2 linked regions of the Caenorhabditis elegans genome follow. The protein of the gene in region 1 purifies or fractionates together with the protein of each later gene. This does not show direct contact. Each region holds a gene or a part of one and is shown on either strand. Other genes may lie near its edges.

What was found.
Region 2: the proteins of nekl-1 (region 1) and pld-1 fractionate together in Caenorhabditis elegans (co-fractionation; one large-scale study listed by BioGRID). This does not show direct contact.

What each region holds. Positions count from the first base shown.
Region 1 is NC_003279.8:2,349,997-2,365,791, reverse strand, and holds the start of nekl-1 (non-specific serine/threonine protein kinase), read right to left. Parts: upstream 7,910-15,795; coding exon 7,798-7,909; intron 7,376-7,797; exon of another isoform or gene 7,375-7,375; coding exon 7,112-7,374; intron 6,900-7,111; coding exon 6,844-6,899; intron 5,724-6,843; coding exon 5,617-5,723; intron 5,570-5,616; coding exon 5,454-5,569; intron 4,227-5,453; coding exon 4,003-4,226; intron 3,080-4,002; coding exon 2,803-3,079; intron 2,284-2,802; coding exon 2,173-2,283; intron 1,537-2,172; coding exon 1,390-1,536; intron 1,339-1,389; coding exon 1,232-1,338; intron 1,178-1,231; coding exon 1,106-1,177; intron 692-1,105; coding exon 578-691; intron 1-577. Other genes in the region: peel-1 (uncharacterized protein), read right to left, coding at 9,637-9,821, 10,090-10,218, 11,012-11,125, 11,176-11,262, 12,909-12,918; zeel-1 (TIR domain-containing protein), read right to left, coding at 15,324-15,726.
Region 2 is NC_003280.10:5,083,869-5,100,045, reverse strand, and holds the start of pld-1 (Phospholipase), read left to right. Parts: upstream 1-8,355; 5' UTR 8,356-8,409; coding exon 8,410-8,497; intron 8,498-8,632; coding exon 8,633-8,805; exon of another isoform or gene 8,806-8,850; coding exon 8,851-8,977; intron 8,978-9,023; coding exon 9,024-9,168; intron 9,169-9,216; coding exon 9,217-9,345; intron 9,346-9,610; coding exon 9,611-9,725; intron 9,726-9,773; coding exon 9,774-10,279; intron 10,280-10,402; coding exon 10,403-10,558; intron 10,559-10,609; coding exon 10,610-12,201; intron 12,202-12,254; coding exon 12,255-12,388; intron 12,389-13,016; coding exon 13,017-13,211; intron 13,212-13,257; coding exon 13,258-13,364; intron 13,365-13,414; coding exon 13,415-13,646; intron 13,647-13,835; coding exon 13,836-13,928; exon of another isoform or gene 13,929-13,988; coding exon of another isoform or gene 13,989-14,114; intron 14,115-14,173; coding exon of another isoform or gene 14,174-14,227; exon of another isoform or gene 14,228-14,261; intron 14,262-14,472; coding exon 14,473-14,598; intron 14,599-14,925; coding exon 14,926-15,066; intron 15,067-15,440; coding exon 15,441-15,564; and 3 more. Other genes in the region: C04G6.6 (uncharacterized protein), read left to right, coding at 297-608; C04G6.13 (C6 domain-containing protein), read right to left, coding at 4,676-4,868, 4,916-5,057, 5,102-5,161, 5,220-5,286; C04G6.2 (DUF281 domain-containing protein), read right to left, coding at 5,930-6,122, 6,178-6,319, 6,438-6,545, 6,730-6,799; UPF0057 membrane protein txt-9, read right to left, coding at 13,989-14,114, 14,174-14,227.

The sequences.
Region 1 (15,795 bases):
AAAACAGGGCATAAAAAAATTTAGACGCCCGCACCCGGACTCGAACTTTTGTCGGATTTTGAAGCTTAATATCTCGGCTCCTGTAGATCGAAATTGGCTCAAAATTCACAAGAAAACTTATTTCACTGCCGTCCTCCTGTCATTAAATTTTCGTGAGCTTAGGGAGAAAACTGACAAAACGCCAAACTTTCAAATTTTAAAAAATAGTTGAGGGTCATTTTGAAAACACCTTAAGCTCCATAACTCGGCGAGTTTTGATGGAATCATTTTGAAATTTTACACGGAAGCTTCTTAGTGGCCTATACGTCTCTGTGTTAAATTTCGCTTTGATCGGCCAACGGGAACCCTTTGAAAAATGAAAAAAAAACGCTGTAATCCTAACCCTAAATAGCTAACGCTCCCCCACTGACGCCAAGCCTAAGCCTAAGCCTAAGCCTAAGCATAAGCCTACGCCTCAGCCTAATTTTCTTTCGAGAAGACTGCGCGCTCTGTTTTCACACTTCAAAAATCGATAATACTGACCAAAATCAATTTTTTCAAAAATCAATAATTCGTGTAGTGGAAGCCAAATAAATACCTCAAAAGTTGCTCGAGGAGCATCGGCTTCGCTGAATCTTTTGCATCTTTCCCCAAACCGAGGTTCTTTGCAGTACCAAATGTCAATAAGGTCCCCCGATCACAGCAGATTACACTGAAAAATCAATAAAGTCCTAGAAAAATCAATAATGTTCTAGAAAAATCAATATTGTTCTAGAAAAATCAATAATGTCGTAGAAAAATCAATAATGACCTAGACAAATCAATAATGACCTAGAAAAATCAATATTGTTCTAGAAAAATCAATAATGGCCAAAAAAAATTAATAATGTCGTAGAAAAATCAATAATGACCTAGACAAATCAATAATGTCCTAGAAAAATTAATAATTTTTTAGAAAAATCAATAGTGTTATAGGAAAATCAATAATGTCCTAAAAATCAATAATGTCCTAGAAAAATCAATAATGTTCTAGAAAAATCAATAATGACCTAGACAAATCAATAATGTCCTAGAAAAATTAATAATTTTTTAGAAAAATCAATAATTTAAAAAACAAAAATTTTACCTAAAATAATTCCCAACCCCAACTGATTGTATATCTCTGCCCTTCAAACTCTCCACCAACCGCCCGTTTTCCCTGAAAATATGTCGATTGTCAATAGAGCGCACTTGCAGTATCGCCCGGGCTTACATTTTCGAAAACTTCCCGAATCCCAGTTGTCCACAAGAGTTATCACCAAATCCGAAAAGTTCATTATCATTTGTGAGCACCATTGTATGAGTTTTGCTCAGAGCGACCTGAAGAACATTTTGAAAATTTTGTCAAATGTGATGTACACGGAAAGGTACCTGCTTAATCGATATCCGGCTGGGAAGGTCTGGAATTGAGGACAGGGTGATTGTCGGGACATGCAAATCGTAGAGAGTTGTGAACGAAACCGAAGATCTCATTGATCCGGAGGTGTGTCGGTGACGGTTTTCCGAAGGTCGCAGCATCTGAAAAATATTGATTTTTTGAAAATTATCGATTTTTTAAGAACGTTATTGATTTTTGGAAAATGTATCGATTTTTCAGAAATGTCTTCAATTTTTTACTGAAAATTATCGATTTTTCAGAAGGGTTATTGATTTTTCGGAAAAATATTGACTTTTAAGGAATGTTATTCATTTTTCTGAAAATTACCTATTTTTTTGAAATTTTATTGATTTTCGTAATATTATCGATTTTTTCGAGAACGATATTGATTTTTCGAGATTTTATCGTTTTTCCGGAACGTTATTGATTTTTCGGAAAAATATAAATTTATCAGGAACGTTATTGATTTTTCAGATTCGATTTTTTCTTTAAAAAATTATCGATTTTTCGGAAACGTATTAATTTTTAGGAGCGTTAAAGATTTTTCGAAATTTTATCAATTTCAGAAATGTTACCGATTTTCGGAAAATTTTCGATTTTTTTGAAATGTTATTGATTTTTCCGAAAATTATCGATTTTTCAGAAATGTTATTGATTTTTCGGAAAAGAATCAATTTTTCGAGATTTTTTTCCAACATTTTTAATTTTTCACAAGGAAACTATCGATTTTTGGAAATTTTTTTCGCTATTATTGTATTGATTTTCTCTACATTTACCTTTAGCGCCTGCGGAGCGGAGGGCCTCTTTTGCGGATCCAACTGTAGCAATTCCCGTATCACCATTTTCATTTCAGCCGAGTAAGGTCCTTTTACTGGTGTGTAGGCACACTGAAACCAGTTTTTTTAGGTTGATGCTCACTTTTCTAGAATCATCGATTTTCGGGGAAATTATCGATTTTTAGGCCTGTCATCGACGTTTCAGAAAATATTATTGCTTTTTAAAACGACCAACTATTTTTGAGTTGCGCTACCGCCGACGGCGACGCAGAATGGGTTGCGGAGCGCCGCCGGCGGAGCATGTTGCTTTTGCAGTCTGATTAAATGTGGTAATATTTTAGTTACATCTATGACCAGGTGGCCGTCAATGAATTGCGCCGTCGCTGGCGGCGGCGCATGGCGGCTCGCACTGCCGCCATCGCAGGCATGTGAACATTGTGCCGGCGGATTTAAAATCCTATGATTATCGATTAAAAAGTATCAATTTTCTGAAACTAATAATTATTGATTTTTCAAGAAGTTATTGGTTTACAGTTCCATTATCGATTTTTAGAAATATTATCGATTTTAAATCTTTCAAACGATGAAAGTTTTCGATAACGAAAATCGGTCATTTTTAGAGACACTTACCGTCATAATACTATTGACCAACGCGGGAAGATTGTCACCTTCAAACGCTTTCTTCAAACAACACATTTCATAAAGAATACATCCAAGAGCCCACATATCACTTTTCTCATTATAAGAGACACCTGAACACATCTCTGGACTTATGTAATACGGTGTTCCGACAACTGTTTTTGCTCCTTGAGCCAATGTTTCAGTGCCCATTATTTTGGAGATTCCAAAGTCGCCGATTTTTACAAATGAGTCTCGAGTTAGGAAGACGTTGGCAGTTTTTAGGTCTCTGTAAATTATTTCTTGTTTAATATTTTTTAAAAAAATTTATCGATGCACCATGTTACTTGAAATTGGTAAAAAAAATTGCGCGTAAAATATGGCACGCTTGCGTCGGTGAACCTCACAAACCTAATGCACCATAGCTTACGCGCAAAAATCGGAATTTTCAGGTTCCAGTTTTTATGAAATTTTTTTATTTAATAACGATGAAATTTGGTGTTTCAGCTATTATACATTTTGTAAAACAAAATGTACGATATCGATTTTTGCGCGTAAAATATGATGCATTGATGTCTCGGTGAACCTCACTAGTCATATTTCACGAGCAAGTTTTGAATTTTAAATGTTACCCAGGAAGTTTAAAATTTAAATATTTTCTAAAAAAAAATTTCCAAAAAAAAATTTTTACTCTTGAAACTTCAAACTTTTTTTGTCAAAAACTTGTTTTTTGCCCGAACTGATAGAATACAGTCCCAAAATACCAAAAATAACCGTTAAAAAATTTCAAAAAATGTTCTAAATTTCTAATGATTTTTTTAATTCTGAAAAAAAAGAGCTGAATTATTTTTGAATTCCCGCGAAAATGGGTGACGTAATTTTCAACATTTTTGTGTTTTCCTGTTGAAATTAGCATTGAATTATCGATTTAAGGCCAATTTGAACGTTTTATTTTTTGAAAAATGCCTGAAAAATGGACAACTTATGTTTCAAATTAAAAATTAAAAAAAAACCCAATTATAAACAGCCGGAAAACGCAAAAATGTCAAAAATTTTCGAAATAATTCGGCCCTGTTTACTTTTTTTCGCATAGTTTAAAAAAATCATAAAATATTTAGAAAAATTTTATAAATTTTTTTACAGTTATATTTAATATACAGGGACTGTATTCTATCATTTACAATTAGGGCAAAAAACCAAATGCACACTTACCTGTGCAAAACACTATTCTCATGCAAGTAGGCCACCGCCGAGCACATTTGAATCATCATATCGCCAATTTGCTCTTCATCCAACAAATTCTGTGTTCTTGATAACATTTGAGCAAGTGTTCCACCATCAGCATATTCCATTTCAATCATTAAAACACCTTCTTCTTCAAATGAATCATAGTATGCAATTATATTGGGGTGCTCGATACGTGATAACAGTGAAACCTTCAAATTTTTTTATAATTAAAAAGCCAAAAAATTATTTTTGTATTGAGATGTTCCTTCAATAAGTTATTGATTTTTGAGGTCTATTATCGATTTTCTGGTTCATTTTTGACTTCACGAAAATATTGATTTTGTAAAAATTTTATCGAGTTTTGTAATATTTACTTTTTGAAGAATTATTGATTTTACAAAAATTACATTATTACGGGAACACAAAATTCTGAGAATGCGTCTTGCACAACATATTTGACGCGCAAAATATCTCGTAGCGAAAATTACAATAATTCTTTGAATGACTACTGTAGCGCTTGTGTCGATTTACGGGATTTCGATTTCGGAAATGAAAAAAAAATCGTTTCTTCGTATTATTTTCTTATGTTTTGCCTAATTTTATTCGATCGATATTTCGAAAATCAATTTCGAAAATCGAGCCCGTAAATCGACACAAGCGTTACACGTGGTGTCAGGCTGTCTCATTACAATTTGATCTACAAAAAATGCGGGAATATTTTTCCAGAAAAGTTGTGACTTCAGCACGCTCTTAACCATGCGAAATCAGATGAGATGTCTGCGTCTCAACTCCCGCATTTTTCGAAGATCAAAACGAAATGGGACTTTTTGACTACTTACTGTAGTCATTTAAAGAATTACTGTAGTTTTCGGTACGAGATATTTTGCTCGTCAAATATGTTGTGTAATACGCATTCTCAGATTTTTGTGTTATCTTAATAACTTTTGTCTAAAATATTCAGTTTCGTCAAAGATAAAAAATTATCGATTTTTGTAAAATTACAAAATTTGCGGTAGACAATCGTTTTTTATTAAACTTTTTTGATTTTCTTGAATTTTTTTTCTCGACCAGTCGTTTAAAAGTAATTCATTGCGAAATGTTAATTAAAATTCTGTGGCCAAAATACGAAAAAAAAACAAAAAAAAACAGGTGAAAAATTGATTTAGTAGTTTGGTCACCTCAAAATATTCCAGGTGGACGCAAAAAACTGGTGACCGAGTTTTCTCAATTCCTCGGCCACATAGTAACCACGGGGAGTCAGAATGTCTTATTAAGATTTGATCTTCAAAAAATCGCGAGAGAAGAGACGCAGACTTCTCATCTTATTTCGCCTGGTTAAGAGCGTGCTGACGTCACAATTTTTATGGAAAAATATTCCCGCATTTTTTGTAGATCAAAATGAAATGAGACAGCCTGACACCACGTGAGTAACCTACCTCATTCAGCGCTAATCTCCTCTGTGAACTATCCAAATCGTACATATTGATTTCTTTTATAATCACCAACGAACTGTCTTCTCTTCGGCGGTAGAGCACGGCGGACCCGAAGGCACCTGGAAATCTTGGATGGCCTAGAAAAATCCTAGGCCACTGCGCTCACCTTTTCCAACAGTCCGAATACGTTCATATCGATTTTGTGCCGATGTGGCTCTCGGATTCGGGTTTGTTATCATTATCTCATTATTGATATAAATCTCGACGATTCTTCTGAAAAAAAAATCGATGATTTTTGGAATGTGTGACGTCATTTATTTGCCACCGAAAAGAGCCCGTGTTGAAAAATGAAGAAAAAAAATAGAATGTGATTTTTGTTGTCACCCACTACTGAAAACCAAAAGATAATCACTGGTTACGATTTTGTCAGGTGAAGGCATTCATTTGGAAAATGTGCTCATTAGAGAGAAAAAGCTCAGAGAGAAAAAGAGCAAGAAGAAATGAAAATGAAGATGAAGAAGAAGCTGTATATTTTTGGTTGCTAAGAAGCAAATGGGAACTCGCCACGGGGGATTTATTGCTAAATTTATAAGGGGGCATAAATCACAATTTCAACGTGGCCTAGGAGTTTATTTTCTAGGCCACAGAGTGAAAAAAAACTCTTCCACGTTGACAACAGCTACCGTATTTTCCAAGTGGCCGAGGTTTTAATTTTTTAGGCCACATCCATAAAAAACTCTTCCACTCTTTGAGAATCACATTTGGTGGCCGAGAAAAACAATTGATGGCCTAGTTTTCCACAAACTTTCAGAAAATACCTTGGCCCATTTTTTTTGTCACTAATTGAAAGTGGACCTGTGCTCGATCCCCCTAATTTTTACGTGGCCTAGGAGTTAATTTTCTAGGCCACAGGAAAAACGTTTTGCTTTTCTTAGACCCTGCTGTTTGTGATGAACATGATCCCTTAGGATTTTCTAGGCCACAGAATGAAAAAAACTCTTCCACGAGCTCACAGCTTTGTTGCTGGGCTGCTCGTGGCCGAGGTTTTGATTTTTTTTTAGGCTATAGATATAAAAAACTCTTCCACTCTTTGAAAATCGCAATTTGTGGCCGAGAAAAGCATTGGTGGCCTAGTTTTCTTTTTTTTAATCACTTATTAAAAATGGGCCTGTGCTCGATCCCCCTAATTTCCAAGTGGTCTAGAAGTTGATTTTCTAGGCCATGCTTCCAAATTCTAGACCGTTTTTTTGTTGCATATTTTATGTTAAAAAACCGAGAAAAATAATTGGTGGCTTAGTTTCTTTTCAGGAAAAAAGCCCGCGGCCATGAGAAATCTCAACTTTCGACATGGCCTAGGATTTGGTTTTTTAGGCCACGAAAGCTCCTTACTAACCTGTTATGGGGAGCCAGCTCGGACGACAAAAATCTGCTTACCAAACGCACGGAAATCTGAAACAAAATCAATTTTTCTCACTTTTTCCAAAAACTCTTCGATGCACCATGTCTTCGAACCAAAATTTTAAGAGATTGCGCTCAGTTTTAGGCTTAGACTTAGGCTTAGGTTCAGGCTTAAGCTAGGCTTAAGCGAAAAAAAAATTGACAAATTTGTCGTTCAAGGCGCCATATTTTACGCGCAAAAATCCCCGTGTACCGTAACCAACCTTTTTCTTGCTAACACTCTGCACTGCCAAACAAATTTGCGACGCGTTTTCGATGGGCGTGGTCAGCAAAAAATCGATAAACGCCCCCTCGATCAATACTTCTGAAATGAGCCATCGAAAAAATTGGGAGACGAATGAGCCGGCGTTTTCAAGGGATTCTTTCGTTACTTCCATATCCTCTAATATTCGAAGTTTCGTGTCGCGGGTTTGGATATGGAGGCCGAGGTTCCGAATTCGGCCAGCAGTGTATTGTTTTAGCATGTCTGGAAATTGGAATATTCATGGAAAATGTTGTGGATTTTTCGAAAAAAATTATTTTCAATTTAAAAAAAATTGAAGTGAAAAATAATAACTATAGGAATTACTATAGGAAAAAAAAATCAAAGATAAATGGAAAAAATGTTTAAAAAATTCGAAAAGTTTTTTACGAAAAATTATTTCCTACAAATAATTTCAAATAATATTTTAATGAAAGAACCATTAGAGAAAACCCTATTAAAATTTAAAAAAAAAATGAAAAATTGTCCGAGAGAAGTACGTCATTCTCGAAAATTTGATAAATTTTAATTTACTCTTGAAATAATAATATTATTAAAAAATACAGGAAAAATTTCTCAATATTTTTGTGAATTGGAAAAAATTCGAAAAAAAAAAATTTTAAGAAAAAAAAAAAAAATTGAGCAAACCTTTCAACTCGGTCATTTTCACACCAACACTGTATCTAATAATATTTGCATCGGAAGCTCGAATCGTATCCAAATTTACAGATTCTGCATGGCAAAGAATCACCGTGCTCATCATCATAATCACACACGCGCTGGGCTCGCCGAGCCAAGTTACCCTGCCACGAGACGTTGCCCTGGGCAACCAACTTGATTTGATTTGGTTGCGGTGAGTGAGTTGGTGTGCTGAATTTTCTTCTCGCCTTTGTGGATTTCGCAATCATTTGATTTTCAAACGAAATTCCAGCTTTACATGGCAGTAGAAAAAAATCCGAAAAAATTTCAGCCGAGGTTTCTCTGCTTTTGAAAATTGCCCCCTAAGCATCTGGAAAAAAGGATCTCAGAGATCGGCTCGACTTAAGATGACCCTATACCACACTAAATCCCAAACAATAAATAATAATTCGAATTAACATTTTAGAGCGGAGCTAGATCAGGGAAATCTAATTCTCGGAGAGCGAAGCGAAACTAGAATTCATTTTCACACGCGAATGTTTATTTCAATACTATTTTTTAGGCTAAGAAAACCACAACAGGAAAGTTGGTCAACCTGGTCCCGGACTTTAAATCGAAGCGTATGCCATTTGAAATCTTTAGACTAGATCACCACAAAAATTGGCGGAACTCAACTCTGAACCCCTGAAATTGGCAGCTGAAAGTGTTCCAGTGCATTTTTCGCTGAATTCCAGGTCAAGGAACTGGTTCTGAGCGATTAGAAATTGTTTTGGGGGTTTTAGAATCTAACGAACAATGTGGAAGCTTGTTAGATATTTTTATTTTGTTGAAAAAATCTGAAATTTTGTCAATCCAGTGGGAGCCAATTTTTCGGTCAAAAAAGTTTTTTTTTTCGACAAAAAAAAGCCTATTTTTTTCGAAGTCTACAACTTTGCAGTTAAATAATACTTGTTTATGAAATAATTTGTTCGGTGAGATATGAATACTTGAAGTGAAGCTTCAAAAATCCCAAGTTTTCCTTCATTTTTAATTTGTACAGGACTTTAAAGAAAGGAGCGGCTTCCAGTTTCAGTCAATTTGTGGCAGTGACTCTTTTAACTACTACCGCCAGTTGCCGGCAAATTCAGGTTAATTGCCGACAAATATGTGGTCCATTGCTGTTTTTTTAGAGTGAAAAATCTTGGGCAATATGGCGTAAATTTACTGCTAATTAAAGTTTCGCAGTTTTGCGTATTATTTAGAATGCTGTGTACCGTATTTCTTCTATTAGTATGGCCTCCCTATTAGTATTGCACCTTGAATACCCTCCGAAAATTAGTATTGCACTCCCTATTAGTGTTGCACTCCCTAATAGTCTTGCATCTACATTTTTTTTTTTTTGGTACAAACCCACCTCACTAATTTTGAGATTTTAACAACATTTTTTGCCTACTTTGCAACAATTTTGGTAAAATTTCTATGAAATTGAAGTTATTGTACCTTTTTGTTGCAATTACAATCAAATTTTCTGAATTTTCACATAAGATTCGAGTTTTTTTCAGGAAAAAAACTTGTAAGCTCAAAGTCAGAAAATGTTCTGAAAATTAGTATTGCACTCCCTAATAGTCTTGCACTCCCTATTAGTATTGCAAGCGGGAAGACCATCGAAAAATAGTATTGCAGCCATATTAATAGAAGAAATACGGTAAATTTCACATCCAATCAAATTGTAACCAAAACGAAAATCTTACAAAACGCACCTCAAAACGAATGCTTTCGAGATAATACTAATCAAATAAACTTTATTCATAATACCAAATCAAAAATTTTCTATATCTTATTTGGCAGCCTTCTACACATCGATCAATTTCATGGATTTTCAACACTTGGATCAATATGAGCAGTTGAGTTGAGACAATTAAATCGTACAGCAGCGCACAAAGTTGGTCTCAGGCCAGCTGTTTGAACTAATTCCATCAACGGATGGATCGCACCACGAGACTCATAATAATTCAGCAGCAAGGAGAACAGTGCAGAGTTCAATGATAAGAGCACTGTAAATAAAAGTAGTTTAGCTATTATCGGAAAAATACGATCGCAAAGCTTTCGAAAAATTTATTTTTGATCTACCCGGTGCACTGGACTCCTCCTTTCTCTTTATCGAACAAAACAGTATCTTAGAGAAAAACATTTTTAGAAAGTTTGGGAAGCGGAGTCTTTTTTGACCAGGTAGATCAAAATAAAGCATTGCAAAAATATTGCGATCATTTTTTCTCGACAATATGAGATACACATTCTTGTTGTGCGGTTTTGTTTACTTACTATTCTGGCATGGGTCAATGTAAAGGACATGGGCGAAAATCTGTGCAAGAAATATCAAGCCAATCAAACCCTTGCAAACAAGAAGCAGGATAGTTTTTGACGAGACAGAAAATCTTCCTTGCTTAATTTCTAAAAAAACATTGAGTGTTTTGAGGTTTTCCTTTTTTTAATTAGCAAATGCAGATCTACGAACTATTGGACTCTTACTTTCAAAAATAACTGAGTGGTTGTGAGAGAGCCGCGAACCTCGTCGGAGGTCGTTGCCGGTCATATAGCATAACTCACAGATGTTTTGCGGTTTTTAAAATACTTATAAAATGTAGTTCGCGCACTTCTACAAAAGGCACCAGCGATATAGTAAAATAATTTCAAAATCGCAAATATTCAGCAAAGTGCGACCAACGAGAGTAAACAAAATACTCCTAAAATGTTAGTGATCCCGCAGCGAAATGCGCGATTTTCAAAATACATCTGAAATATTGGTGACCATAAGTATTTTACAAACGGCAAATCAGCTGTGGCTACCCGCAAAAGACGGAAAAACACGGGACACGGGCCCGCTGGCTGTCTCAAAATTGCTGTTTTCTCGCGGACGAGAAAACGTTAGAAAAGTGAGCAAAACGGCCTTGAAAGCGGTGGAAGAGGAGGATTCTTCGTCCACGGTTCGCGTAGTTCTCTCGAAGAAAATAGCGTGTGAACGAAGAGACGCAGACGACAAACAGTTATCCTTCGCGTTTTTCACGCCCAGTGAAAAATTAGTATCAGAGTCTCTCTTATCTAATGCATAGCAAGAGTTGGCGCCCATTTGTATGTTGGAGCTCTTTTCATCTACGTTTCAAACTGATTTTTTGTTGAATTTTGTTGTTTAATGCAGCATGATTAAGCCATTTCCACCCATTTTTGTAACATTTATGAAACTCACCAAATGGGCTAAAAAAAATTAACCACAATGAAGCAATTGATCCAATAAGAGCAATAACATGCGCAAACCGATTTACCCATACATTTTCAGGCAGATCAAGATACATGTAGATTTCTGAAAGTGAATAATATTGCAATTGGTGTATATTAAAAAATCAACTCAACTGAAAATCTTTACAAGAGCAAGTAAAAATCCGACTATGATGTTCCACAAAAATATGAAAATCATCGAAAATTTTAAGTTTTGGAAATCTGTAACATAAAAACCAATACAATTAAAAAAACGAAAACTGATTTCATTTCATTTCAAAACAAAAATAGGAAGATAAACAGTTTACTTGTTTCAAAGCTTAATTAGCGCGTTTTCTGTACAGGGTGGTCCATAATTATGGCGACCACTTTAGGGCACAGTATCTTTTTTTTGGACAGCGAGCAAGACTAGTGAATATACACATTTTATTGGTCAGAAAAAATCAAACACAACGACATATAAAACTTGACACTTATCACCACCTACGGCAGCACAGAACTCAAGACACTCAAAAATCCACACGGCCGTGGCGCGCAAGTGGGCTCAATTTAGCTTATTGGTAATTTTTAAATGAGATACATTGAGTGATTTATTATTTTGATTATATATTAAGAATACCGTTAATACAACAAAGTTTTTCACAAATAATTTTTGAGATTGGTGTCCGGTGCCGGAAATGGCATCTTGTGAAAGTTGATGAAGTCAAAAAAAGTAAGCTCCCCCAAGTTTTGTAAATTTTCTTCCTTACCAGCCAACCATCCTTCATGTTGAAAATGCTAATGTGTTCAGTTTAAATGTGTCTTAACTTAAAATGACAATTTGGTTTTCAATATTTCGAAATATTCCACAGAATACAGAATTTTTGGGCAAATTTTTCGCAACGGACTGTTTGCACTGTTTTTAACGGGCAAAAAGCTACATAAATCCAAGCATAAATTGGCTCAAAATATGTCTATTGACTTTGATTTTGCTATTTCGAGTGTCCAAAGTCTGGATAATTATTTAAAACATAGAAACTAGTTACTTGATCCCGTGAGCGCAGCAAGAAACGTCGGGCGCTAGAAATCCTCTAAAATGGAGAAAAATTATAGACTACCGATGTTGTGAGGTCCTCATTACCTTCAAAGTTGAAGGATGTTGTATGGAAATTGACGAAAACGACAGAAAATACTGTGATCTTCTAGAATTGATCAAATTTTAAATTTTTCGTAACAGGGTAAACCCATAAATCAAGTTCTTGCGCGCATGTAGCAGGTCGCCATAATTATGGACCACCCTGTAGAGCCCATCGCGGTATTTACTAATGGTAAGTGGCTGCAAAGATAGAAAACCAGGCCATTCTTTCAAAAAAAGATTAAATAACATTTTTCGAATACAACCTTTTGAGAACGATAGAAATCTTTCATAATATCATTTCCGACAAAAAAAGTTTCAGAAAGAATAGGGTAAAAATTAAAGATTGGCCGAGCTCTAGTTGGCCGAGTTCTGGCTTTTTCTAGGCCACGCAGGAAAAGCACTCTGTGATAGTTTTGACGAATTGAATTGTACGCCAGACGTGCTGTTTATCAAATTATTCAGAAGAGTTGAAACTTTTAATTGGCACGAAATTGTAAAAAAAGTGAAGAGCACGTGTAGGCAGAAGTCATGATACGAGAATGTAGATTGGCAGAGAGGCTTGTGCGCACAAGCCTAAAATATTCTCATTACGTATACACACATAATTAGATGCCTGCTGGCCTATCTACACTTCTATGTGGTTACCTGCTTGCCTTTCGCATGCCTACATGTATTTTCTTTCATATGTATGGACTGAACCGGATGACCACTTTAGTCACCTTTGCCTCCTCTGCTATTACAACAATCTTACCAAAGCGCATCCTTGTAAAACCACAGTTGGTGTGACGGGTGTAGGGAATAAAATTTTAATTTTTAATTCCTCCCCTCCCCCCTTTTACAAATACTCAGGCCACGTTATTATTTTTAATTTTTGAAAAGAAGTGATTGATATTTATGAATGCAACCGGTTAAAAGCATTGAAAAAGTTCGAAAAATTGTCTATTTTGAAATCATGTTTTGATTGGGAAGGTAAAAACTGACTGAAAACTTCTGAAAATTTCTAGCATTATGAGAAGAGTTTACACGATCGAGCAGTCTCAAATCCCGGAGGCGTTTTCCGTGCATGATGATATAAAACGTAGGAGTCTCGAGTTCGAAATTCTGTAGAACTCTTCTGTTTAGTCCCTGAATCCTGAGGACCTGAGGCCCTGAGGCCTCTCACTAGGGAAGGGTCTGAAGGTGCCAGCGGCTTTTTGGACGAAACATGTTTCATTTGAAAGCCCATTTTTAGAAACGGTGAAATGTGAATTTTTAGCTGCGAAATTTCAGATCTGAAAGATGCTCACAGCAGTACTCTCGGCGCACTCTCGGCGCAATTTTGGGGTGTCGGTGAGGGCTGTGGTGATGGTTTTAAGGAAAATATGTTATTTCTAGTCTATTTTACTCTTGCTGTAAGTCTAAACAAGGACTTTCGAATGAAACAGGTTTCGTTCAAAAAGCCGCTGGCACCTTCAGACCTTTCCCTAGTCAGTCCACAATTCCGTTAAGTGTTATTTTGAAAAGCATGACCTCACACACATTTTAATGTTAATGTAAATCCTGAGACTTAGGGAAGATCTAAAAGGGCGGATGCACTGTTTTTTGGGCTTCCTACCTTCCATCCACCTTTTTGTCACTTTACTCCCATCTTTTTGCCACCTTTCTATCACCTTTTTGCAGCCTAGTTATCGCCATTTGTCTCCTTCCGGCAAAAAGTGGGAGGAAGGAGGCACTAAATGACGAGACTTTTAGGGAGATATTTGAGTACGAATTTCGCGCACGAATTTCGTGCTACAATGCCCACAGTAACAATTTCTATAGTTATTTCTACATTTTAAATTTTAATTTGAAAGTTGGAAAAATATCATTTTTGCCCATTTCAATTTGAACCCTCTTGCTTTTACGACCAGTGCTTTCAAATTTTATTTTTTTAAATTACTAACTTAAGAAAGCTACCTGTTTTTATTTTGTCATTTAGTCATTGATTGTGGCTCCAAATGCGTGTTTTAAAGCAATTTCCCTACTGTCGCTACTCCACCTTCGTAATAGTAGAATAGAACTGTAAAAAATTTATGGAACACATTTTTCTTTTGATGTTATGCAATTCTGCAAAACATTGAAAAGGGATAAATAATTTATCAATTTCCGCTCAACTTAATGACCTAGTTTTGATAATATCGCGTAATGCGGCTAATTTTTTTGAGACAGGTCCAAGAAAGAAGATATCCTAGGGGGAATATGCCACAAGGGAAGACGCAAAGATGTGCTTCCTCGGGAAACTCCGCCCACCAACCGCAACTTTTTCGGAACCAAGGCGCGGTTGATGGGAGGAGTTTTTACGGGGAAGATTTCTACGTCATTCCATATGGGTATCTTCTCTTTTAGTGCAGTCTCTGTCTTTGGAGTTAAACCAAACCACCCGTTTTGAGACACAAGCGTCAAAATGCCCGGGTCCATTTTCTGATTTTTTGAGTTTTTTTTTCGAGAATTCCCAGGTTGAAAAAATTTGCAAGAAATTTGAATTGCAATTTTAAGGAACGTTTTGGCAGTTCTCCAGAACTCAGGTTTTTTTTTCCAAAAATTGAAACAATTTTTCAGAAAATCATTCAAAAATCTGTAGCAAATCCACGAAATCGAATTTGTTTTTTTCACATACAAAACTTTTATTCTTTACGATGATTATGTTCTATATGCTATGGTGGGTGCCACTTCAGATGAGATCCTTGTTGGCGGTTTCAATGCTGAGTCCAATCCAAGCCATTGCAGTGTAGGCGAGAGTTGAAGCAACAAGGACGGCAGTGTAGATGGCAGTTATTTTGAGGTGTTGTTGAGAGAGTTTTTGGGATCGGATTAATTGTGTTCAAGAAATTCTGAGACATGAAGTTTTTCAAGAAATTCTACAAAGCTTCTGGCTGAAAACCTCAGCCCGAAACGATTACAGTAGCAAAACTTTCAGAGAATAGAATTTGAGTATTGAAATCAGTTATGTTTTTACCCGTGACCCGTTTATTTGGATCGAAAATAAAATTGTTCAGAAATTAACAATCAAATTCAATTTTTTGTTTAAAAAAATCAAAAAATTAACACTCTTAGTGGGAGACCCGTTCACCCATTTTCTTGGATTATAAAAAAATCAAAGTGTTTATTGGCATCGTGAGCATTAATAAAAAAAATAGATAAAAAAGATTTAAAGTTTATACATTATGTGCAACAATGATTCCGTCGCGTTTCTCACTGCTTCCGACACAACTTTCAGATTTTCGATGTGCTTTAGAATATACGAATATTCCTCAATAGTCTCCACAAACTCCTTTTTCTGTTCTGTCAAAATTTGAAGCGTCAGCAGCGCCCAGAGGACAGGTCCCTCAAGCCTTGAGGTTTTGAGCACATCTTCAAGGATTCCCAGGTAGATTTCAACTTTTTCGGTTATCTCGGATGGTTGGAAATATCGGAATCGGTCGATTAGAAGATCATTGGCATCAGAGGAAAACTCACAGGTTGTCCAGTCTCTTTCGGAGGAGAAGATGCGGAGTGAAATTATTGTGAACACGTTATAAGCTTTGTTAGACGTCCAGTCATTTAGGAGTTGGCTGAAATATGATTACATTGGAAAAAACTGCTCAGAAAGCTTCAACTCGGTGTTTTTAGTACTGATAAAA
Region 2 (16,177 bases), on another chromosome or scaffold:
CCGCCAAATACTCCCGATCTGTGATGAAAAAAGGAGAAAGAGCAGAAGGTTCAACCTGCGAAAAAGGCTGAAAAATCTATGAAAGAACAGGAGGAGGAGCGATTGGCAAAAAACAAAAAAGCTCAGGAAGAATATGCAAAAATGACGGCCAGCGCTAAGAAAGTTAGTTCATATTTATAAAAGCTAAATTTTCTGAGAATTTGAATACATATTGGTATCTGACAGTTGCCTTAATTAATGTATTTAATCTGTTAATCTAATAAGGAACTAATTTTTCTACTTTTTTCAGAGACGAAATGCGAAAAGGAGAGCGGGATGATGACTCGAGCACTGTGGCGGTGATTCGTGGAGCTGGAAAGAAATCTAAGAAAACGGCGAGCAAGGGGCCAAAGAAGGAGCTCAAAAATCCGAAGAAAAAGCCAAAGAAGAATCTGAAAAACAAAAAATCGAGAAATTCCGAGTCAGAAATGTCGGATTCCGGAAAAACGACGGACTGTGAAATGGAGATCAGCGACGCAGATGATTATCCACCAGTGAAGAGATATCCAAATCGTCGTCGATCACCACCACCACCTCCACCATCCGGTAGAGCTATCAGTGCTTATTAGAAAGGTATATATCAGATTTTTTTATTGATAATGTTTTAGTGATCTTTTAATCTAGTTCTACATTTCAAACTATTTTAAAATTGGACTAACGTGAATAATCTCGAATTCAGAAAATCCAGAAAAGAATGAAAAAAAAAAGCAAAATCAATTTTTTTTTTTCTAAATTCCTTCAAAATGAGAGCTCTCCGACCAATCAGCACTCTCGAACTCCGCCCACTCCATCTGATTGGTTGAAAATTGGGCGGAGCGAATTGCTAATTGGTCACGGTTCTTATTTCGGAGGGAATTTAGCTAAAATTGAATTTGTTTTTTTATTTTGGATCATTCTTTTCTATATTTTTCGTCCAATTTTAGACAATTTTGAGAGTTTTAAAGTAAAATCCTTTTTTAGTCTAAACCAGCATTCAACACATTTTTAATTCCAAAATGAAAATTTCCAGAAGACTGCCCATTCCGAATTCCTGTGCCATGTTCTTCGTCAATTCTGGTCTTCCCACGTGAATTTGTCAATTCTTCAAGTCAATGTTTGCAGCTGACATCTTACGAACTTGATTCAGACATTTTTATGTATGTATTATTATTTTTCGAAATTTAATTGTTAAAGGTCAACGACACATACTGACTTTCGCGAGATTCCATCAAGTTCAATTGGAAAAAAAAACTTTTGCGAAAAAAACCATGAAAAGGCAGTTTTCCGAACGATATTTTTTGTCTGAAACTCAAAAAACGATCATTTTCCTGAGAAATTCAAAAATTATGAACTTTCGTTTTATTTTTCAACAAATTTATGATTTTTTTTTTCATTAAATAACACAGCCTTTTGGACATTATTTCTGAAAAAAAAACCATTTTCTCATATTATCACAACGCAGGAAATTTCGTATTTTGAAATGGTTTTCATGTCGATAAAAATTGCACTTTTTCTAAAATTTCGAGTGTGATTTCTTGGGAAAAAAAAATCAAATTTATGAATTTTCGAGTATATTCTGAATTTTTCGCTTTTTCTATTAAAAAATCCAAAAATTGCCACGTAGAAAACGTCAATGCAGTCTCGTTGTGCTTAAATTAATCCCATTTTCCCCTTACAAAACAGTTCATTTATCCCAGTTACCTCTCTGCGTTTTTTAGTATTTTTTCCCCATTTCCCCATGCTTAAATTAATCTCATTTTACACATTTTTCCCCTATCAGCAGTTCTTTTTATCTCATTTTCCTCCCCTTTCTGCGTTTCTCTTAATCTGTTTTATGAACATTACTTAACAATTGCCACGAATAGCATACATTTATTTTTTGTCACAAATAATATTCCGGGTTTATTGCATTTTTTCCACAATACTAACCATATCTGTTATATAGTTGTTCGCATTATCCTCAACCTCATACACTTGCCGTTTTCCCTCATTTTTCTGTGAAAGTTTTTATTGTTTTTTATTGTGTGTGTGTGTTTTTTTTTATTATATTTCAATTGTGAATAATTTTGATTCGAGGATTTTTCGTTAGTAATAACTTTTGATTTTTTTAAATTTGTAATGGTCTAACTTTGAGAATTCATCTAATGGTCTAACTTTGAGAATTCATCTAATGGTCTAACTTTGGAAATTCATCTAATGGTCTAACTTTGAAAATTTATCTAATGGTCTAACTTTGAGAATTCATCTAATGGTCTAACTTTGGAAATTCATCTAATGGTCTAACTTTGAAAATTTATCTAATGGTCTAACTTTGGAAATTTATCTAATGGTCTAACTTTGGAAATTCATCTAATGGTCTAACTTTGGAAATTCATCTAATGGTCTAACTTTGGAAATTCATCTAATGGTCTAACTTTGAGAATTCATCTAATGGTCTAACTTTGAGAATTCATCTAATGGTCTAACTTTGGAAATTCATCTAATGGTCTAATTTTGGAAATTCATCTAATGGTCTAACTTTGAGAATTCATCTAATGGTCTAACTTTGGAAATTCATCTAATGGTCTAACTTTGAAAATTTATCTAATGGTCTAACTTTGAGAATTCATCTAATGGTCTAACTTTGGAAATTCATCTAATGGTCTAACTTTGGGAATTTATCTAATGGTCTAACTTTGGAAATTTATCTAATGGTCTAACTTTGGAAATTCATCTAATGGTCTAACTTTGGAAATTCATCTAATGGTCTAACTTTGGAAATTCATCTAATGGTCTAACTTTGGGAATTCATCTAATGGTCTAACTTTGGGAATTCATCTAATGGTCTAACTGATCAGAGCAGAGTGAATGAAACTTGCAGATGAGAAAAATTCGTGGAAAAATTTTTTGAAAACTTACCTGAAGCATGTGAAGGCTAATTCGCTACTTGGTTCCACCAGGTTAAAAAACGTCATATTAATTTATTCATACATATATCATATCTACCCAAAACCTTTGCATTGTTTACTCAATATTCGAGGTAATCAAATTTAAAATTACTTCCTTTTCCACAGACTACGAAAATACGAAAAATAACAACTTTAGTATGCCCAGGTATGAATTTAGTAACCTTTCTTTTTCAAGTTTTCATTTTGAGAAATTATATATTTTTATTCATCTTGTTTCGAAATTTTGGTTCATTTTTGCACGTCAATTTTTGGATTTTGAACCGATTCTAACTCGTAGATTCTATGAAGAAATAGAAAACCAGTGACTCATTTTGTGAGCAAACATTACGTTTTACACACGCTTTGTTAGAAGCAGATGACAAAAATAGTGGTTGCAATTGTCAAAAAATAGATGTGGTTTTTAAATTCTTTTTTTTTCAATTTCTAATACTTTATCTTCGCTTAATTTTTTATACTAGAATTTTCTCGTTTTTCAAAAATTTCCAAAAATACTTTAGCACGAAATAGACAAAAAAAACTAACTTTTGCCTCAAATTGAGTATGTTCCGCTTCACATGTTTCGTTCTAAACAATTAAAAAAGATGGAAATTGTGCTCTGGCACCCGGTGGCTCCGGCACTTCTCTTTCCAACATTTTTATTTTCTTTTTCTCAACCACACTCACAAATAAAAAAAAAACAGAAGAATATCTTCAGTTGTTTGTTGCAATTGAAAAATCAACTATTTTTCCTTCTCGTTTTCTCTACCTTTCATATTTCTCTCCAGCTCTTTTGTGCTCTCAAAAGTGTGAACAAGTTCTATTCACACTATTTATTTTCTTCATGTGCTTGTTCACATTTTATTAGAAACTACCTGATATTTGTAGTTTTGTATGATTTAGTAAATAGAAACATTGTGACCAAGCACAAAATATTCACCATGTTTCCATTTTCACAATTGCTCTACTTCTAAGTATTATTAATATATATGGAACATTTTGATCAAGAACGTAATCTTCTATATCGATACTTTAATTAATCGTGCAGTTATATCCTGTTCTCTGATAAGATGTGGTGTTTTGTTTCTTTGTTATCTCCCGAAAGCTGGCTTTTAATGTAGCGATGAAAAATGGTTGAAAATTTTGGTCATGCCAAGGAATAAACTGAAATAATTTTTCCAGTGAGTTATGTGCCATTTTCTGATTACTCAAAGTGACCAAAAACAATTTTTTAAATTAAAATATTAAAAATAAATATAATGGTTTTCTATGAAAAATGAATTTTAGCGGGTTCAAATTTCTCGCTATTTCTAGATTGGGTTCCCATAACTCTTCTTTAATTCTTATTTTTCATTTTGGTTACACGCAAATTTGAAATTGCTCCAATCTTTGGCACACTAATTAATAAGGTCTAAAAAATGGAGGGTGTCCATTTCACATAAATTCCTGTTCCTACTTGAATTGGCGAGAAATTTTTTTTTTCATAAAACATCCAGACACAATTAGTCTGATCAGTTTTTATCTGTATAAAAGATCAGCATCAAAACTGTATTTATTGATCCTTTCAAACAGACTAGATTGAGAAAAAGCTTTGAAATATATTGATTTTATTGGAAAACGTATGGTCTTAGTTTTGAGTAAATAAAACAAACTGCTCGTTTATTCCTGATTACATACTTGATATATGTACTTCAGTTTCAAAAAATATTTTTATTATTTAAATACGTTAATAATCAAGCATTCCTACAAGTAACTAGATTTATCGGCTGAGGAAATGCTTCAATTTGAGTCATCCACATTCCAACATAATTGCCCTCTTCTTCGCACGATATTGAGTAAGAATCAGTTCCTCCATCATTCCCTTCAACTTCAGTACCTGATTGATCGAAATATGCAATAGTTCCGGAAGGACATTGGAGCGTTGTTCTGAAAATTTTCTAAATTGAAATTTTGATTTGAAACATCTAACTAACTGGCAAGCAGTAGACCCGTAATCATTTATTCCAATTGTATAAGTCACTGGAATATCTTCTCCAATAGCACACCAATTTGTCGGACTGGGGACACCATATCCCATGCAACCAGTATTGTAGATTGGTGTGCAAGCAGAGCACGCTTAAAGTTTGATTTATTTAGAAAATTGAAAACCTTGAACTCACGATAAGGGACTGTTGTTGTGGTTGGATCTTCGGTAGTCGTTGTAGTTGTAGTGGTAATTGCTATTTTGGAAAATTATCTATACTCTTTCATAGTCAGTATGCTTGTACAACAACTCACGTTCAACTTCCTGAGTGGGAATACATCCGTTCATTATAGGCATCAATGAGAATAAGAGTAGAAACATAATATTGTCTGATCAAACTGTGACATGCTTCAGATCACTTTTATATCTTCCTTGCATATCTGTTCGCAACGCAATATTTCTTGTTCCGATTCGAAAAAACGTTCTTCATCCTTTGTTGGAGGAGACATTGCAATAAGTATCAAATTTTTATATTAGTCACGTGTAACATGCTTGAAGCTCAAAATTCGACTTTTTGTTTGAGCAGAAATATAGTATTTTCACTATAAGTCTTGCGTCCTTACGATCCAACCAAAAATTAGTTTTGCATCCTTTTTGCACTGGCATATTGCCAGCAACCTTACTTTTTGAAAATGTTAGTCGATTCAAAATATGGATAGAGTTTAATTAACTTACACCTGCATAAAGCGCCGATGAAATTAAGGAAACAAATTTTGATCAAGCGTCGGACAGGTGAAGCAGCAACAAGCTTTTTGCGCACCAAATGATATCCTGTTCTTTCGATTCATAACAAGCAATGATGTTTAGTGTCTTTGAATTTTTGCAGTTCAAAAAAGTGCGGTCTAGTTCCAAGTGAACATAATAGACATCAATATCAATATTTATTATATCTTGTATAATTTTAGAAATATTGAACCATAACATCTTGAAACTTTCATAAAGTACCATCAATATTTGTGCACTTCTACATGTTTCTGCATGTTGCTTGAGTAATTGGAGTAGGTATCCCACCAATTACTAACCGCCATATTCCAATATAAAAACCACCCGATTCTTCGCAGCTGACTGTGTATGAATCAGTGCCTCCGTTGCTTCCTTGCATTTCGGTTCCTGCTACAAAATAAGCAAATGTTCCAGTTGGGCATTGTAATGTCGTTCTAAAATATAAAGCAGTGTTCACTAGGGCATTGTGAAACATTTATGATAACTCACTCGCAACTAATAAGTCCTGCACCATCATCTACAAGTGAATAAGTAACGGGAATATCATCTCCAATAACACACCAATCTGTGGGACTTGGCATTCCAACTCCCATGCATCCAGTATTGTAAATTGGAGCACACATTGTGCAGGCTAGAAAGTGATTTAGGGTAGTTTAATTATACTCACAGTGATCTCACATCATCAATTATCATACACTCCAACAAATTTCGAATTTTTAAAATTTAGAAGCTTTTCATGAAACGCTTACGGTTCGGAGCTAATGTTAGAGTTGTTGTAGTTGCTTCCGTCGTTGTAGTTGTAGTAGTTGTGGTGGTTGTAGAAGATGTCGTTGTAGTAGTGCTGACTGGGTCAATAGCTGAAATTAAAGCAAGTTGTGCCACAAATTTTTTACTATGCAACATTCTTTCTAGGCATTCCAGTGTTCTTATATAAAAGGTTTCTAAATAATTTTCTCAATAACTTTACGATACAAGATTCAAAAAAATATTTAGCTAATACATTTATTTTCCATCAATTAAAAAATACTGCGAAGAACTTACGTTCAACTTCTTGAGTTGGGATACATGTAATAGCGACTTTAACAATAGAGAATAAAAGGAAGGCGATCATGTTGTCCCTGTAATGTCCTCAGACTACAATTCATTTTATATCGGTCTAGTGTTATGCAACATCGCTTCAATATCCTGTTTCAATGTGCGAATGATACCGATTTCTGTATTCGTGGATGATCTCAAATCGTAGAAGGTATGGATTTGGGTTTATTACGGGTTTCCTACATACCCAAAGATCAAATCAGACTTTTTTAAATCGAATTACGCCACTAGGTACTCCATGGGTTGCCTCTGGAAAACAAAATATCTAACAATGACTATCACTTTATTAGGATCTGTAGTATGGCCACAACCAACATGTTAAGGTCTTACCTAGGTGTATGTGTTCAATATAAATTCTGAACTGATAAACGAACAGCTGTTTACATGTTTCTTTGCCCACGTTTTTTGTTTCCACCAACCAACTTTTCATCTTCTTCTTATCATCTTCGCGTTTCATATCATACTCAATGCAAGGCATTTTTCCGTTTTCCTCTTCAAAATTCTAAAAAAATCAACATGGCATTGTTTTTCCCGCACGAATTAAGGCCTGCCACTTATTTAGTTGTAGCCAGTAATTTTCGTTTAAAATCATTTATTTCTCTGCATCAAATATCACCACATTCACACGAAGAACAATCAATATAATGTGGTTTTACAATGGTTCTGGCTCATGTAAACAAGCGCCTCAGAGATTAAAAGAACGGGCGCCGGAGAGATGGCGCAGAGAAGTAAAGTAAAAATGCATGTGGAGAGACATAACTGGTGTAGGAGAGGCACAAGACAAAGATAGAGTGCGCGAATGACCCCGTCTCCGCTATTAGTTGCTTCCGCGTGGGATTTTCTCACATTATATGAAAGATTTTTGCCGTTTATCTTTTTTTATCATTTGAATCGTCAAGAATAAAAACCACACAAAAAACCTCTTGTATCAGGTTTTTTGAAAAATTGTGAATTTCGATTTAAATTTTCTGAAGTCCCCGAAATGGGAGAAAACTGCAAAGAACAATTTTAAAAATCAATTTCGAGGAAATTTCGTGGTATTTTTCTCGAAAAAAAATCGACTTTATTCTTAAATATGATTTATTGCAATTTTGATGTCTTTTTTATTGCATTTTTTGCTTTTTTTCAAAATTGAAACAACAACGAATAAATTCCATCGAAAACACATTTTTGTTTCTCTACAAAAGGCGCCGATGGTCTCGCAACGAACCAGAAAAATTTTTTGGCAATGTGCATGCGCCTTTAAAATAGTACGGTAGACTACTTTTTGGAATCTTTCGAAAAAATTTAATTGTTTATTTTATTTTGTTTCAAGGAGTGTTTTTCTTTCACATTTTCAAACATATTACTGATAAAAATATAAAACTACAAAAATTGAACCTTTTTCAAGATGAATCACAGTATTTTCTTCATTTCCTATTACCAATTTGCCATTTCACAGCCAACTTTCTCTTTTTTTCCACACTTCTACAGTTTGTTCAGTGATTCATCACATTTTTCATGTTTCGCACTTGTAAAGATTACGAAACCAAGAAATATTAACTCTGAGAAACTTGCTTTTTATTCTTTCAGGGAGAAAACCCGCACTCCGGTCTGATTTTGACCATTCAAAGTCAAGACAGAAATATGGAGAGCGAAGATGAAGAGTCGCGGAGGCCTCAGACAACATCAAGTGGTCATCTGGAACCGAAAGATACAACTGAAAATAATTCAGGTTAGTTTTTCCGTGAAAATCAGAAATCACAAGGAATTCATAAATACATTTTGCACTTTTCCTTCTCTTTTCAAAAAGTTTCTTCTTGAACACACCAAAGTCAACAACATTTTCCAATTTCTTTTTCATTTTCAGTCGACTCATCTGTAATGCATGACCGTGGTATACCAGGACTCCTGCCAGCAACAAAAGCTTCAGATAAACAAAAGAAAGCTGTAATTCGGTTCCGAGAACACGAGGGAAGAGCAGACAGTCCGCCAAGCAACCTTAATGTCCGACGAGACAGCAAAACAGTTCACATTGATGAGGTAAGTGCAACTTTTCTTTTTTAACTCTAGATATTTATCTTTCAGGTATCCTCTCCACAGTCCTTGGATTATGGTGATAGTGATGATAGTTCTGATGACGATGAGATCCAATATTGTGACTGTGTTGCTGCTGCTTTACAGCAATCTCTTCCCGGAACACCTGGAAGAAAAGGTATTATTACTTTAAAAATTACTCATATTAAACGTGTTTGGTTAAGGAATCATTCCCTACATGTCAATTTATGATACTCAACAGCAAGCTCGTCGTCGAGGATATTGGATACCAGGAGTTCCGGTTAACGCGAAAATTGTAAAAGTCGAGAGAAATACGGATCGGGGAATTCACTTTATTAATACACTTCTGTGAGTTAGAGAATTTTGAAGTAAAATTGAAAAATCAACATTTTTCAGCTACACAATCGAGCTGGAACATGGACAATTTCGTTGGAGCGTCATCAGAAACTACAAAGATTTCACACTTCTCAACAATCGTCTCATGGCACATCGTGCTCGTGAACAATTTATGGCACCAATTAAAAGGTATTAATTGCCACTTTTTATTTTAATTTTCTCATTTTACACCTTTTATAATAAGTTTGAAGCTTTTTTTCTTGCAATTCACCCCATCGCTAACCTAAGACTAACCCCCATTCAGATTTCGTGGTAAAGTTCAGGATGAGTAAGTTTCTACACGCTGTTGTGCTTGTTTTGTTTATTTTTAGACTTGAATGGCTTGTTTTTGGACTGTTTTGTATGAAATTATAACTGCAAATTAATGTATTTTGCTATTTTTATTTATTTTCAGAACACAAGAGCGATTCGATAATTATTTGGAGCATATGGGTATTGATATTATTTCTGATCACAAGCCAGAGTGTCCATACTCAAATCAAAGCTCTAAACGGAAGAGACATCCGAAGGTATCTTTAAGAGTTTTTTATCTTATAAAGAAGTTTAAATATTTACAGCTGCAAGTTCTGAAGCGTGATTCGGATGGAATTGAAGAATCAAAGAATACATCTGCTCCACTAGCATCAGTTGAATCACCTGGAGAAGTAGAAGATGCATTCAAAAAGGAAGTTCACATGCAGCAAGCTGTACAATCTGGAATTCTCGATGAAACTGTCAATGAGGCTAATACATCCGAAGGAACACCTAAACGGCAGCGACGTCAACAGAGAAAGAAGGATCGGCACACTCTTCCACGTTTCCCAATGATGCCTGATTCGATGGTAACAAATTTGGAGCATCGTAAAGAGCTTCTCGAGAACTGGCTCCAAATGGTTCTTCACATTCCGATCAACAGAAATCATCACGAAACTGCTGAATTTTTGGAGGTTTCGAGATATTCATTTGTCAATGAGCTTGGTGGAAAACATACGGAAGGATTTGTCAAGAAACGTCCTGGAGGTTCGAGAGTGTTCCTTGGATGGAAGCAATGTTGTGTACGATATCTTCTACCGTGGAGTAAAAGGTTATTAAAAGTTTTGGTCAAAATTTTTCGATTTTTTCAGTAATAATCCAAAAATTCGAAAAATCTGAAAATCGACACCTTTTATCGTTTTTATCGAAATAAAATTAATAAAAACAATTTCAGATGGCTTATGGTTCGTGATTCATTTGTTGCATATATGGATCATCGAACTGAGCAGATTCGGATGGTATTGCTAATGGATCGTGATTTCAAAGTTGCAGCTGGAGGAAAAGAAACAGAAGGAATTCCGACAGGACTCATTATTACAAATAGTCAACAGTGAGATTATAATTCAGGAAAAATCAATAAAATCAAAATATAATTTTTCAGTGAGCTTCATCTAAAATGCCGCCGTCTTCAGGACACTGCCACGTGGAAATACATTATTGAGCAGGCTATGGGTGGAATCGGAAATACTTGGCTTCAACCACACAGATTCAGTTCCTCATTTCCAGTACGTGAGAACTGCCACGCGAAATGGTTTGTTGATGCGAAAACATACATGGAATATGCGGCTGATATGATGGAACTGGCTCGGGAAGAAATTTACATTACCGATTGGTGGCTCAGTCCAGAGATTTACATGAAACGGCCAGCTCTCGAAGGAAACTATTGGCGTTTGGATGAAATTTTGAAGAGAAAAGCTGAGCAAGGTGTGAAGATTTTCATATTGTTGTATAAAGAAATGGAAATGGCACTTGGTCTCAATAGTATTTACTCAAAACGGACACTTCAAGGACTTCATGAAAATATTAAAGTAATGAGGCATCCTGATCATTATCCATCAACTGGAACATTCTTCTGGGCTCACCACGAAAAACTTCTGATAATTGATCAATTGATCTCTTTTGTTGGAGGAGTTGATCTTTGCTTTGGACGATGGGATGATCATCGACATTTGCTGACTGATCTTGGATCCGTACAATATTCTGGTGCACATCAAGTTGCTACAAATATGGCCAGTGGATTGAGAAGCTTGATGACAGCTCCGTTAACGCTTTCTCCTTTGGGTCTTGAGGAACATGAGAAAGTGACGCCGAGAAACGAGAATGGAGGTAAAAATGGATCAGTAAAGCGTGTCGCTGTTGAGGAAATAAATGAAGTTGACGAGCCAAAAGAAGTTACTGGAAGAACACAAGAAACCGAATTGACCGATAATGAAGATATCTCTGAAGATTCTGATGTTAAAAAGATTATGGAAGAGACAATATTCACTGATAAAGAAACTGGTGGAGTCGTTGTCCGAACACTTAACCGATTCCCTGTGGATGAAGCTATACGTCATTCTAGTCCTGCTGATCCACAAAAGAACTGGAAAGAAACTAAAACAACTGTTGTAGAATCAACATCAACTTCTGGTGGAGTAACTTCTAAAACTACAACGACGACTACTACAACTAGAGTAGTAAAGGATAATACTCTCGAAAAGGAGAAGAATAAGAAAGAACTTCGTCGAGCTGTCACTTCATTGGAACGTCAGCGGAAGCATGTCCCACGTGAGATTCTGGACAAAGCTGGCCCTGCTCCGTCAATGATTGAGAAGGCTGCAAAGAGTGGAATGGATTTTGCATCGGCAGCCGAGAAATATAAGGAATACGTGGCAAGTGGAGCTGTTCAGAAGGAGAAACATCGAGCCCAGACCCCTCCGAATCGTCGAAAAGCCAAGAAAGATTCGAGAATAACTCGTGCTGTGGGTGCTGTGGGCAATTGGAAGAGCAACAGAGCCAAGAGAAAGTGGAAGCAAATGCTTGAAAGTGATGAAGCCACAATGGGATATGAGTTGGATTGGTTGCGACTTCGTGAAATGGACGAAAAAGGTGATGGAGATGATGAAATTGATGGAGGTGCAAAGTTATGGTATGGAAAGGATTATGTCAATTATATCGCGAAAGATTTCGTCGAAGTTGATATGCCATTCCATGGTAGGTCACTTTCTCTCAATTAAATTTCGATGATTAATAATATAAAATTTCAGATTTTATTGATCGTGGATCTACTCCAAGAATGCCATGGCATGACATCCATTCTGTAACTTTTGGTGCTCCAGCTCGTGATCTTGCTCGTCATTTTATTCAACGATGGAATGCTACAAAGACGGAGAAGCTGAAGGTAATTATCATCAGCAGTTAAATTTTCAACAAAAAAAAATCGAGAAAAAAGTTTTTTAAGTTTTCAAAATATTTTTAATTAAGTTTTTCTGGCAAAAATGTATTTTTCAAACATGTGAGCAAAACACACCGAAAATTCTGTAGTACTGAAAATTCATGAATATTTAAATTTTACATTTTTCCCGAAAAATTTTTTAAAAAATGCATTTTAAAATACTTATATATATATTTTTTTTTTGTTTCTCAAAATAGCTTTCCAATATTACAAAATGTTCGTTTTCTTTTTTTTCTCGTTTTTGTCGTGTATTATTTGCAAAAAAAAACTTTTCGTTCTCAAAAAAAAAATTCGGAGTACGGTAGTTTTCGAAACAGATCAGTTTCAGGCATTTTTTATCTTTGTTTTTTAATCTTTCTGTAATATTCAATATATAATACAACAAATTCCAATTTTAGTGGAAACGTTTCAAAATTTATTTTTAAACATTCGCAAAATTTATCATTTTCTCAATTTTTTAACCTTTTCTCTGGTGTGAATATTTCAAATTTTATCATGAAAAGTGTGTATTTTATTCAAATTTTAAAAAATATATAATGGATCCAGTTCTCCCAATTAATTATTTTTTTTCCAGGATGACAAGAATTATCCGTATCTCTTACCAAAAAGCTACGAGAATGTTCGTGTTCCACGTGTCTTCAAAACAGCGAATGCATCTGAAATGGTCAATGTACAAGTTCTCCGTTCCTTGTCTAACTGGTCAGGATTGATAAATCAAACTGAAGATTCGATTCAAATGGCATATCTTTCACTCATCGCCAACTCGAAGGTTTCATTTTTTCAGACATTTTTAGAAAAAATTAAAATTTATTCAGCACTACATCTACATTGAAAATCAATTTTTCGTTTCTATGATTGAATCAAATGATGTCACGAATGAAGTTTGCAAAGTTATTTATAATCGTATCGTCAGAGCTTACAAGTGAGTTTTATTTATTTTTTAAATTATAAATCAATTAAATTGATTTTCAGAGAAAAAGACAATTATCGTGTCTACATCATGATTCCACTTCTACCTGGATTCGAAGGAGACGTCGGTGCTCCTGGTGGATCTTCTCTTCAAGCAGTTCTTCATTGGACATATCAATCATTGAGTCAGGGACCGAATTCTTTGATTCAAAGATTGAAAGCTGTGATGCCTGATCCATTTAAATATATTCATGTAGGATCACTCAGAACCTATGATCAACTTGGACAGAAATTGGTGAGTTTCGTTGTATCATAGACATTTTTACTTTTCCCTTATCACTGGCCATTCTAAATATTTGGAAATTTTATTTGCATTGCATGCCCATTCACAAACAAACACACGTCTTTCATGTCATAAAATAAGCTTTTTCTCTATTTCTCCCACTCTCTCTTCACTTTATTCCTCATTTATACTATTTTTCAGGTATCTGAGCTCGTCTACATTCATTGTAAATTGCTCATCGTCGATGATGAGCATGTTATCATTGGATCAGCAAATATTAATGATAGATCACAGGTAATTTATAATTTATTTTAAATTTTAAACCGAAAAAGAAAAACAAGAAATTTGGATAAATTACTTTCTGAAGAAGCAAATGTAGACTGCGTAAAGTATTCCTGGAAGCCAGAAGAGCAGGCAAAATATAATATCAATGAGCACATTGATATCGCATTCTTTTGTGTGCCACCAGATTGCTAATGGCTGGAAATGAAAATATTTTAAGATCCCATTTTGAAAGAGAGGCTCAAATCAAAACTTACCGGGAGGAAAATGCAAAGAATGACCTCAATAATAACATCAGCATCTGTAGCCATCGTTCAAAAGTTCAAGCAAATATGAAAAAGTATCAAAACTCACTTCCTCTCATGTGTTTATATACGAGCCTCCTTGCCGAAAACTAAAAATTCTTCACGCCCGCCCATCCGCTTATCATCATAACTAAGGAATAGTGAAGTGATTCATGTGACATTTTTGCACTAAATGTGTGCTTAACTCGAAAAGAATGAGCAAAAAAAAAGGAAGAGAGTGAAATCAATGAAACAATAAATTGATTTTTCAGTGTGGAAATCGTGACTCTGAAGTATGCTGTGTGTACACTGACGTCGTCAAAGAACGTTCGGTTATGGATGGAAAACCATTCGAGGCTGGACGATTTGCAAAGAGCCTACGGATGCAATGCATGAGGGTACGGTAGTAGCTGTGCGGCAAATATTTTCGACAAATGCACAAAAGTGTCAATTTTAGTGTGATATTCCAACTTTTTGGATTTGAAATTGATATAAAAATGCACAAAAGTGTTTTTTGATCTAATAATATGTTTTCTTGAATAGTGCCTTTACCAACAATAGCGAATATTGTGATCAAACCATCATTTTTCTACATTTCTTTAATATTTCCTAATATATGTAAAAATTAGAATTAGCATACCGAAATCAACAATTTTTAACATTATCACCGTACATACCTGCTACGGTAGAAATCAGCAGTTCCACTCAATTTGCTTTTTTTTCAGGAACATCTTGGCCTACTTCCCGACTCCCGCCGGAAAGCGAAATTCCCGTATGCAGTGTCATGCGATGATCCTGTCGCCGATAGTTTCTTTGTTGATGTATGGCAATCAACTGCCAAGAGTAATGGTCAGATTTATGAAGAGGTTGGTTATATAAGTACATTGCAAATTTTGCGCCAGAATTACGGTACCAGGTCTCGGCACGGCAATTGTTCAATGCAAACGGGTATGCGCCTTTAAGGAGTACTGTAACTTCAAACAATCGTTACTGTGGAATTTTTATCGACTTTTCATAGTTTTTCATTAAAAATTAGTTTATTGAAAAATTGAACTAAAACAATTAAAAGCATATATATTTTTACAAATTATGAGAAAAACTATAAATAATCAAGGTAATTTTCGTAACAACAGAAGTCTGTAACTACAGTATCTTTTAAAGACGCGCATCCTTTTGCAAAATTTCGCTTCTCTGTATTAAAAGAGAATTCAAGTTCGAATAGTCAATATTTAATTTTCAGGTTTTCCGCTCCTACCCCACCGATTTCGTGGAAACTTTTGAAGAGTTCCAAAAATGGACATCACAGATTCCAATGTCCGAATATTCTCCACAACAAGCTGAGGAAAGAGTTCGAGATCTAAAAGGTTTGTACTTTGGAGTGTCTAGTTTAGCGTTGATGATAACTCCTCTTATCACTTGAGACATTTACAACTTTTGGCCTTTCAATTTACGAGAGAAAATGTGAAAATGTCACTGATGTCATTTCCTCGAATCGTTTCCGAAAAAAACCATTTTTTTGCAGGTGTCCTCGTCGATTTCCCACTCAACTTCCTTTGCAAAGCAGTTCTGACTCCAGGAATAACATCAAAAGAGGGACTTGTTCCAAGTGCTGTATTCACATAATTTTAATCATCAATTAATCAGATTTTCTGCCAGTTTTTTTTTGCTCTTTGCCAATGTGATTCTTTCAGAGTTTTCAGCTATTTTTTTGTGTGTAACTGCCGGTTTTCTTTTTTGTTAATGGCAGCTAAAGCCCCTGCTCCGCCAATTTGCCTGTGAAATACCCCCTAATAGTTCAATTGTCACTAATTCAGTGGAGATAACAAACCAGTAATTTTATAGTAAATTTCAGAGTTACTCTGAATAATATTGCTTGTATACCAAAAAAGACGAACCGAACTCCTCAATGCCAAATTTTTTAATTCTTATTTAGCTCATTTTCTCTATAAATAATGATTTTTCAAATTAATCATACAA